Rattus norvegicus: one gene and its partner. Each later gene encodes a partner of the first gene's protein in a complex. Links are inferred from orthologs where the notes say so. Each region holds a gene or a part of one and is shown on either strand. Other genes may lie near its edges.

Region 1 (4,493 bases):
CACTTAGCTGCTCTGAGCTTCGGGTCTTTTTACTTCCGCTAAATGACAACTGCACCACCTCTTGGGAAGAGTGCCTTAGGTAACAGGGTGGTGCCTGCTCCACCAGAAGGGTGCTCATGCTGTGCAGGGACAGGGAATTAATAGCTATTCCTTGCCTTGTCACAGGAAGACCCACCCAGTACAGAGGAGACCCAAGGTGACAGCTGGAATTCGGGCAGGCAGTTCATTGTGTATAGTTTGATGGGGTACCCTGCCTGTCCCCAGTTTCCGAGGTCGTTTTCCTGTCTCCCATTCCACATGTGTACTCTTTGCTTACACAGTTTGCCCTGGGTCAGGTCCTGATTTGTGGCCCTGGGTTCACCTGTTTGGGAAGGGTGAGGGCAGATCCTGGCTCAATAACAGGCTGTCCCCTGAGTTGCCAGCAAGGGACCTGATTGGCAGCTGCACTCTGGGCAGGGATGACTAGGACTCTGCCTTGTCAAGGTAAGCAGAGGTCTTTTGAAACTCTGGAATTTACCTGCAGAGACTAGCATCTCCACGTGTTGTGTGAGGATAGGCAGAGGGGTAGCAAATCTAGCAGACAGGTTTCTTACTAAATATGTGGACCTGCTCATCAGGAACGACCTGGGTAGGGAACAGAGAAGGACCCTCACTCATATCCCACTGATCAATAAACAAAAAAGCCCTAGGCAGGATAGGTGAGACCAGAGAGCCAGTTCAGGGCAAGACTGCAGGGGTGAGAGCAACAACATAACCCCTGTCTTCCCCCATAGTCTTGTGGCTCAGTTGGAGTCATTGAACTGTCCTCCGCTCCTAAGGTCGGGGGGGGGGGTGTCTATGGGTTGTAATAAGGGGTCCTGGGCTGCAGCAATGCCAGGTAAGCTGTGTCCTACAATAGTTCCCCTGACTTTTGCCGGAGCACCGGGAAAGTTCACCGGATCGCGCTAGGAAGCAAGGCAGCCCCAGCTAGAAAGAAGGGGAAGGGGAGGCTGTTCAAGAGCCAGTAACTCGGTCTCAGTTCGGGATGGGAGTGAGGCTCTCGGGCCCAGGAAGAGGAGGAAGATCCCCCTGTCCATCCCACTTCGGGGTCAGAAGAAAGTTAAGGCCAAGGAGTTGCTTCTGGCTAAGGCAGGGTTGTTCGGGTTGTGTTCACGTAGTCCGGGGCAGGGGGCTCCGCGGCTGGTCTCTCTTGGCGTCCCGGGGCCATCCTCTCCCGCGGGGTTCCCCCCGGGCCCAGCTGCTGGCTCCCCCAGGCCCGCGCGCGGCCCACCTTCTACCGCGGCCCGCCTTCCCGGCGGCAGGAGCGGGGCCCAGGCCGGCGGGCGGAGGCGGCGCCACCCGGGGCGCTGACGTAGCGGCCGCTCGGCGGCCGGGGGTCCCTTCGGTGGGGCCGCGGCTCCCCGCCCGCCACCCCCGCGCGTCCATTCGCTTTGTGTCCCGCGCGCGGCAGGGCCCCCCGCGCACTCTCAGCCCTGCGCCCCGCGGCCCGGCGGGCGGCTCCCGGCGCGGCCCCAGCAGCCCGCGCCGGCATTGTGTGGACGCGCCCGGCCGCGAGCGCGCGCGCGGGCCCTGCCGAGCGCCCCCGGCCCCGTCCGCTCCGGCCGCGGCGCCCGCGCCCGCCGCCCCCGCCGCCCTCGCCGCGCGGCCCCCGGCCCGGCCCGGCCCGACCCGGGCAGCGCAGCGGCGGGGCGAGCGGCGGCGCGGCAACATGGCGACGGTGCCCGTGTACTGCGTCTGCCGGCTGCCCTACGACGTTACCCGCTTCATGATCGAGTGCGATGCCTGCAAGGACTGGTTCCACGGCAGGTGAGCGCGCCGCGGCCCGCCCGGCCCACCGAGCCCCGCGCCCCAGCCGCGCGCCCCGGGCCCCGCCAGGCACCGCAGCCGCGTTCGGCCGCCGGGCCGCGCGCCCTTTTGTGCCCAGGGCGGGGGCGTACGGCCGCCGCGCACAAAGCGAGGCCCGCGGCCGGGGCGGGCGAGGGGCGCGGGGAAGTTGGGGCTCCGGCCGCGTTGGGGCTGGGACCCGGTCGTCTGACAGCGGGGCCGCAGTGGCCGCGGAGGCCGGGAGCAGGACGAGGCCCAGGCCCCGGGCCCCCGCCGCCAGCCCCCTGCGAAGTTGCAGGAACTTTCCCCGCGCGGGCTCGGGGCGGCCGGGCCGGGAGAGGCGGGCGCGCGGCCCGGCGCGGGTCCCCCGAGAGGCGCGACTGGCGGGCTCCGGAGCTGGCAGGGCTAGGGTGGACCGGGTAGGACGGTAGCTAGGTAGCGGCCAATGCCCCCAGTGTCTGCCAGAGCCCGGGAACCTCCCTGGGACCTTGTCCTGGCGGGCAGGACCCCTCCGGGGACCCCGCGTGCCTACTGGCTCGGGCCGGCCTGCGGGCCTAGGCGGGAGTGCAGTGACAGACCGATGTGAGTGTCTGTGTGTTGGGGTGGGGGTGTTGTGGCTTGGCCGCCTATTTCCTGGCCTGCTCAGCTCCCCATTTCCCTCCTCCCTGCTTCAGGCAGAGACACCCCAGTTTTGACATGACCTTATGCTCTTTAAGGAAGACGGGGAGGAGGGAAAGAGGTAAGCTTAGGCGATACTAAACCCGCCCTTTGGGCCCTTGCCGGTGGCCATGACCTGGCCTTGTGACTACTTTTTAAGAGCCTAAGTCCCTTCCTACTTAGAAGTAAGAGGAGGAGAAAGAGGTGATCATCCTGCTTAAACTGCTCCAACAGGTTCTCTTGTGTTTGACTTTGCCTGTGGGATGTGCTTGGGCCTCAAGAGGGCTGGCCTGAAGCTGGACAGGTCTGCCTGTCCCCTGGGTGTGAGTTTTTAGCAGCTAGTAGCAGGCTGGAGGGAGAGAAGAGTGTATGGTTCTACATGGTCCCTGTCCTTCCTTCTAGAGAGAAGACCCTTCTGTTATCTCACATCCAGGATCTTTAGGGTGTCTTGAAAGGGAGCTGTGGTCTCTGGTCTAGTCATCTTTAAGTGTGGGGAGCTAGGTAGTCAGGATGTGATGGGCCGCCTCACATCTGTAGGCCCTGGGACAGAGGTTCACTCTTGTAGGGCAACCTGGCTGGCCTTACGAGGGGTGGTCGTTTATGGCTCACTGGAATCTCTAGAGTATCCTGTGTTGCCTCCCTCAAATATCTAGAACTGTGGAGAGCACTCAGAGCTGTGTGACCCCTGGGCTCTGCTCCAAGCAGGGCCACTATAAACAGTGACCAACTGGCTTCCATATCCGAGAGGTTTGTGGCCAGATTACAGTGGGTAGAGCCTGGAAGTCTCTCCAAACCCAGAAACGCTGGGAATCTGGACTTGAGTAACCCCAAGAGTGGTGGCACCTCTTCTTCCTCTCTCAATCCAAGACCTATAGCACCCCTGGGTACCTGTCAGCTGGGCTGCTGCTGAGGCAGAGAAAGGAGGGGGGATGAGATGATTGACCAGTCTTGACACTGGAAGAGGTTTGTTGTTTATTGTTTGCTTTGTTATTGGAGGTCTAGTCAGTCACCTTACTATTTCTCTGAGGATTTTGCTTTGATCTGAGACAGGCAGTTGATTAGCACAGATGCATTTACACGTATTTGGGGCTCTGGGCAGTAAAAGGGATCACTCACGGCAGGTGTTTTCTTATGCTCAAGTGCACCCTGAGTGGTGCCTCTTCATGGGTCCAGAGCTCTGGCTAGCTTTGTGCAGGGTCAAGGGTTGGGGCCTAAGCGAGGCAGGGAGGGAAAGGCCTGGGCCTCTTCCTGCTCCTGTAGTCTGGAACAGATCCGTGGGCCCCTCTCAAGTCTCTCTTGTTCATGAGTGGAAGGCGTGTGGTCAGCTCCCTGTGTGTCTCCCCCTCCAGTTATTCCTGGAAGACCCCAATGGTTCTCCTCAGAGCTATGTAGCACCTGGATTATTAATTCCCTCAGAGTTTACATCTTAGCACACGTTTGAACAGCTGGTATGATTTTACACTTTTGATCTTGAGGAAACAAGGCTTACTGAAGAAGTTTTTTAAATGGTATCCCCAGGAGTAGTAGAGCATGTGTATAATCTAAGCACCGGGAAGGTTGAAGGCAGGAATATCAAGAGTTCAAGGCCATCCTTGGATATACATCAAGTTCGAGGTCAGCCTTGGGTATATGAGACCCTGTCTCAAAAGTAGTAACAAAGGCTGGTGAGGTGGCTCAGCAGATAAAGGCTTGCTGACTAGCCTAGTTCTAATCCTAGGACCCACATGCTAGATGCAAGATGCCCTCTGACCTACCCATGTAAACCATGGCATGAGCTCCCCTCCAAAATCAAATTTAAAAGTAATTAAAAAAAATACCAAAACACCAATAACAGAAGGATTGAGTTTGGCTACACATACCTTCCACTCCACTTCTAAGTTACTTAGTTGGCTGTGCCAGCTTTGAAAATAAGGCGAGAACTTTGGCTCAATACTCGGGACTGAGCGCCACCCTTTACTCAAACTTCTTTAGCCAGATTTCCCTCCTGGATGTACTTTTCCTGTTTCCAGATC
Region 2 (4,294 bases), on another chromosome or scaffold:
AGAAAGGTGTGGGGTCGGAGCAACACAGGATGGAGCTGTAGCTTGTGGCTCAGGGGCAGCCACTATGTTACCAGCTCCAGCCTTAACACAATCACCATGGTACGCTGCTTTCGGTGTGTACGGGAAGCCCAGTTGAAGTCACCTTCAGTAAAGGGACTTACCTGCGTGTGTGTGTGTGTGTGTGTGTGTGTGTGTGTGTGTGTGTGTGTGCGAGAGAGAGAGAGAGAGAGAGAGAGAGAGAGAGAGAGAGAGAGAGAACGCGAGCTTTCGTGTTTGCTGGGAAGAAATCAGAGGAAACACCTTCTTTAGCTGATTTTCCTTTTTTCTTTCATTCTAGGGTCCCCCGTGGATCAAACCCAACAGAAGCCTGGGAGCTGTGGGACATGCGGTGCAGTTGTTTTGTGGGGCTGCTATATGGGGCAGACAGCAAAATAGGAAAGAAACGGGAGTTAGTATAGGTACCTGGGATGGCGAATTCAAGATATGAAGATCAATGTTAAATTGCACACTGGACGATAACTCAGATTTTGTAGGGACTAAAGTTCATACAGTGTTTTAGGATCCACCTTAAGAAACAACACAGGCCAGGAGTGGTAGCACACACTTTTAACTCAGCTGTTGGGAGTCTGAGGCAGGTGGATCTCTATGAATTTCAGGCCAGCCTGGTCTATCCCGGGAGTTCCTGGAGAGCTAGAGTTACATAGTGAGATCGTGTCTTCAAAACAAAACAAACAACAACAACAACAAAAAGAACAAAAATTTTAATTGGTAAAGCAATAGCAATAAACAAGAACAGCGCCAAACCCAAGGCCTTTCCCAGGATTTCAGAAGCCGCAGATCCAAAGTGCAGCCTGAAGTCCATGCTTCCAGCCTCTAGGAAGGAGACAGTGAAACAAAGCAAACTGACGTTAGAGAACAGCAGCCTAAACACTGCGGCGGGTTAGGTAAACACCGAGACATGCTTCGGGTATTTGAAATGACTCTCTTTTTGTCTATCCGTTTAATAAATAAGCAACAGTGAGTACTGGTTATATTTATTTCGGTTTTTACGGCTTTGAGAGCCAGTAGCTGGTAAAACAGCAAGCGGGCTGCAAACCACACTTCCCAGAAGCCCTCGGGCTCAGAGGAACACGCCCCTCTTCTTAGAGGTCCAAAGACTACAATTCCCAGCATGAAGCAAGCACAAGGACCACAACTCCCGGCATGCTCACCGCGGTGACAGAGAAGCGCGGCCTTTCTCTCGCCCCGCCTTCCCCGCCGCTCGCAGCCAATGGGAAGGCTCTGTACTACGAGGTGCAGAGGGGACAGCGCCGTGGGCAAGTCGCAAGTCTAGAAAGCGGCGGGAAGTTCGTACTACGCTGTGGGACGGCGAGTTGGCCGCTCTGGGTAGGGAGCCCTGAGGTGGCGGCGGGACGGTGGGTACAGCGACGCATCAGAGAGGCGCCTGCTCATCCGGGTGTCAGGCGGCGCGGCTGCTGGGTCGGGTCAGCCCGGGAACCCTCGCCTCTCTGCCCGCTCGCGGAGCTGCCGGAAGCCCGGTTCTAGAAGGCCGCCCGAAGCCTGGACAGGGCCAGGTGGCGGACACCGGGACAGGAATCTGGACCGGCCGAGCTTGCCTCTTCCTTAGCAGCGGTGAGGTGAGGCCTCGGGGCACACCCGCGGCCGCTAGCTTCTCGTTTCCTCCCTGGCCTTGCTCCACAGGTCTCCACCGCCGGTGACCTGTCTCCTGTTGCAGTGTCTTCAGAGGCAAGCAGGTTTGCTCCAGCGCCCAAGTTTGTTTTAGACCGTTTCCAGTTCACACAGCCTAGGTGTAAAAGTGCGCCAGAGTCTTTGAGAGCTGGGGACACAAGCTAGTCCTTATCCGGTTACCCATCCCCCCCCCCCCATTGTCTTATCGTTGACGTTAACCATTCTTTAAGTCTCTGCCTGTATTATTCCTTTCTGTCCCCCATTGCTCTTGGAGTAATTTGGAAACACGATTTTGCCATTGGGAAGGTGGTGGTTAAACCTAGGGAATCGTTGAAGAGCGTCGTTGCTTTCCCTTAAAAAAAAAAAAAAAACCAACCAAAAAACAAAAAGTCCCCAATCGGCCCTCCCGGCACTCCCCCCCCCAACCCTAGAATTGCCCATCTGTTGAATGTGGAATTCAAAACAGTGAAAAAAATGTAGATCAGAACTTTATCATCATTATTATTTTGGATTTTTTTTTTTCCTTTCTGTGTAGCCTTGGCTGTCCTGGAACTTGCTCTGTAGACCAGGCTGGCTTTGAACTCACAAGAGATCTGCCTGCCTCTGCCAGCTGAGTTCTGGGACTAAAGGCTTGGGCCACCATCCCCAGTCTTAAGAGTTCAGGAGAAGGGCTTCTCCCTTTTTTGTGATACTCCGATCATAATGTTTGGGGAAATTTAATTTACAATTATGATTGGAATTAAGTATCTGGGTGGCTAAGATAATGTTGATCTCCCTGTGGAAAGGAATGTAAGCTGACATCACTTAACTAATGGCTTTCCCTGTTGTGCTACCACCAATGGCAGATACTGCAACTCAGCGTCGCTGACGGAGACCGTGCTCACAGTGGCATGGGTTGAGCCGAATACTAAGCGTGTGTTAGGTGTTAGGCCTTTGGTACAGCACTGGTGTCCAGTACAGATGCACTTTGACAACTGCAATGGCTGCTGCTCATGCCTGGTGTGGCAGAAAAGACAAGCGTTTGTTAAACAAGTGTGACGGTAGAGTGTGTCAAGCAGGGAGCCTGGCATCTTATAAATTATCGAGCGCCCGGCAGTGGCTATATAGAAAGCTTAGGCAGAGTCTTACTCAAGTATGCATGCTTGTATCTTAAAAATAGCGGCAGTGCATGTCAAATGTTGACAGACCCTAAAGTTAAATTTCTTACAGGAAATAGGCCAACTTCCCTTAACTTTGAGAACTAACGTAAAATAATAATGAGTGAATGTCCCAGGTGTCTAGAAAAGACAAAGATATAAATTTTCAGACACCCCCCCCCCCCCAGGGCATCCATAGTAGACATACTATGAAAAGGATTTGATTTGGAAAAATAGAACCTTAAAATATTTTTTATTAAAAAAAGAAACGCATTTGAAAGTAGGATTTATCTTGCAATCAAATGCAGAAGTGTGACTCCCAGAGCTTTTATGCAAACGAGCAAAGGCTCACATCCTAAGGTATCAGGCAGTGAGCCTGCTAGAATGAGGTGAGGCTGTGGAGGAAGATGATTTGCGAGGGTCCTCAATGGATTTAACGGGATGGCCTCAAGCATGTTTTAGACAGGTCGGGCATTTTGCATGCTTGTCAAGGGTTTTGTTTGTTTTTTGTTTTATTTTGTTTTTGAGATGGTTTCATTATTAGCCCTAGCTGTCCTGGATCTCACTCTGTAGACCAGGTTGGCCTCGAACTCACACAAGATCTGCCTGCCTCTGCCTCCCAAGTGCTGGGGTTAAAGGTGCGTACCACCACTGCTGGGCTGTCCAGGTTCTATTTAAATACAGGAGGACACAGACTGATGATCATGAGAGCTACCTGAGACCCGAGACCACGTGGCACTTGCTAAGTGCAAAACCAACCCTTGCTATCCTACTGTTTGGTTGAAGCAGTAAGGATGTGAGATGAGTTTAGAAGGTGGTAACTACAGCAGCCAAGCCGTTAGCTCAGTGGTGAAACTTTTGGCCCATATTTCTTTAACTGCCTTTGCAGTTGTCATTATAAAGTCATAAGGCCAGCCAGTGTCTTTTAATATTCCCTCTGAAAATGGAGTCCAAGCCCTGTGTCCACAGGTTGCTACACTGAAGTAACTTGTATTTCTAAACATCGCCTGCAACCTTTGTTCTCAAACCCAAGTGTGTCAGCCCTTTGGGGGCACACATGTAGTACGTGATCTTTATTAACTTTAGTTTTGAGACAGGGTCTTGGCGTGTGGTCTGGGGCTGCCCTAGAACTCACTAGGTTGGCTGGAGCACGCTGCAGTCTCCTGATTTACAAGTGGCCAGTGATGTGTGCATGGTGTGGTGGTGGGGAGATGCATGCCTCACCTGGCTAGGCCTGTGCTTTAAGAGAAGCTCTTCAGAGCCTGGGGAGGGATGAGGTATGTCCTGACCTCAGAGTAGGCAATAAATGGATCTAACTATAGGAAGGACATTTTACTGCCGTTCTTTAATAAACGTAAGAACTTCAGGTGCAGTGGTTTGTGGGCTTGGGATGTTGTGAGTCATATTTTCCCTTCAAGTGAGAGGATCTTGTGTTACTAAGTAGCAGCTGTTTAGACAGCTCAGACATC

Evidence for each region. The genes of interacting proteins can lie anywhere in the genome.
Region 2: the proteins of Phf2 (region 1) and Vrk1 are in contact, whole or in part, in a crystal structure (PDB 8F8Y), measured with the Homo sapiens proteins. The link is inferred for Rattus norvegicus from reciprocal best matches to the Homo sapiens genes PHF2 and VRK1. Residues at the interface, in NP_005383.3 of Homo sapiens: Tyr7, Tyr14, Val16, Thr17, Arg18, Phe19, Met20, Ile21, Glu22, Trp29, Glu39, Ala42, Ile45, Asp46, Tyr48, Lys64, Tyr145, Ser147, Glu150, Lys175, Val178, Asp179, Tyr182, Ser183, Thr184; in NP_003375.1 of Homo sapiens: Pro2, Arg3, Val4, Lys5, Ala6, Ala7, Gln8.

What each region holds. Positions count from the first base shown.
Region 1 is NC_086035.1:15,988,000-15,992,492, forward strand, and holds the start of Phf2 (lysine-specific demethylase PHF2), read left to right. Parts: upstream 1-1,594; 5' UTR 1,595-1,708; coding exon 1,709-1,806; intron 1,807-4,493. UniProt on the Homo sapiens protein: Lysine demethylase that demethylates both histones and non-histone proteins. Enzymatically inactive by itself, and becomes active following phosphorylation by PKA: forms a complex with ARID5B and mediates demethylation of methylated ARID5B.
Region 2 is NC_086024.1:130,678,184-130,682,477, forward strand, and holds the start of Vrk1 (serine/threonine-protein kinase VRK1), read left to right. Parts: upstream 1-1,347; 5' UTR 1,348-1,637; exon of another isoform or gene 1,638-1,754; intron 1,755-4,294. UniProt on the Homo sapiens protein: Serine/threonine kinase involved in the regulation of key cellular processes including the cell cycle, nuclear condensation, transcription regulation, and DNA damage response.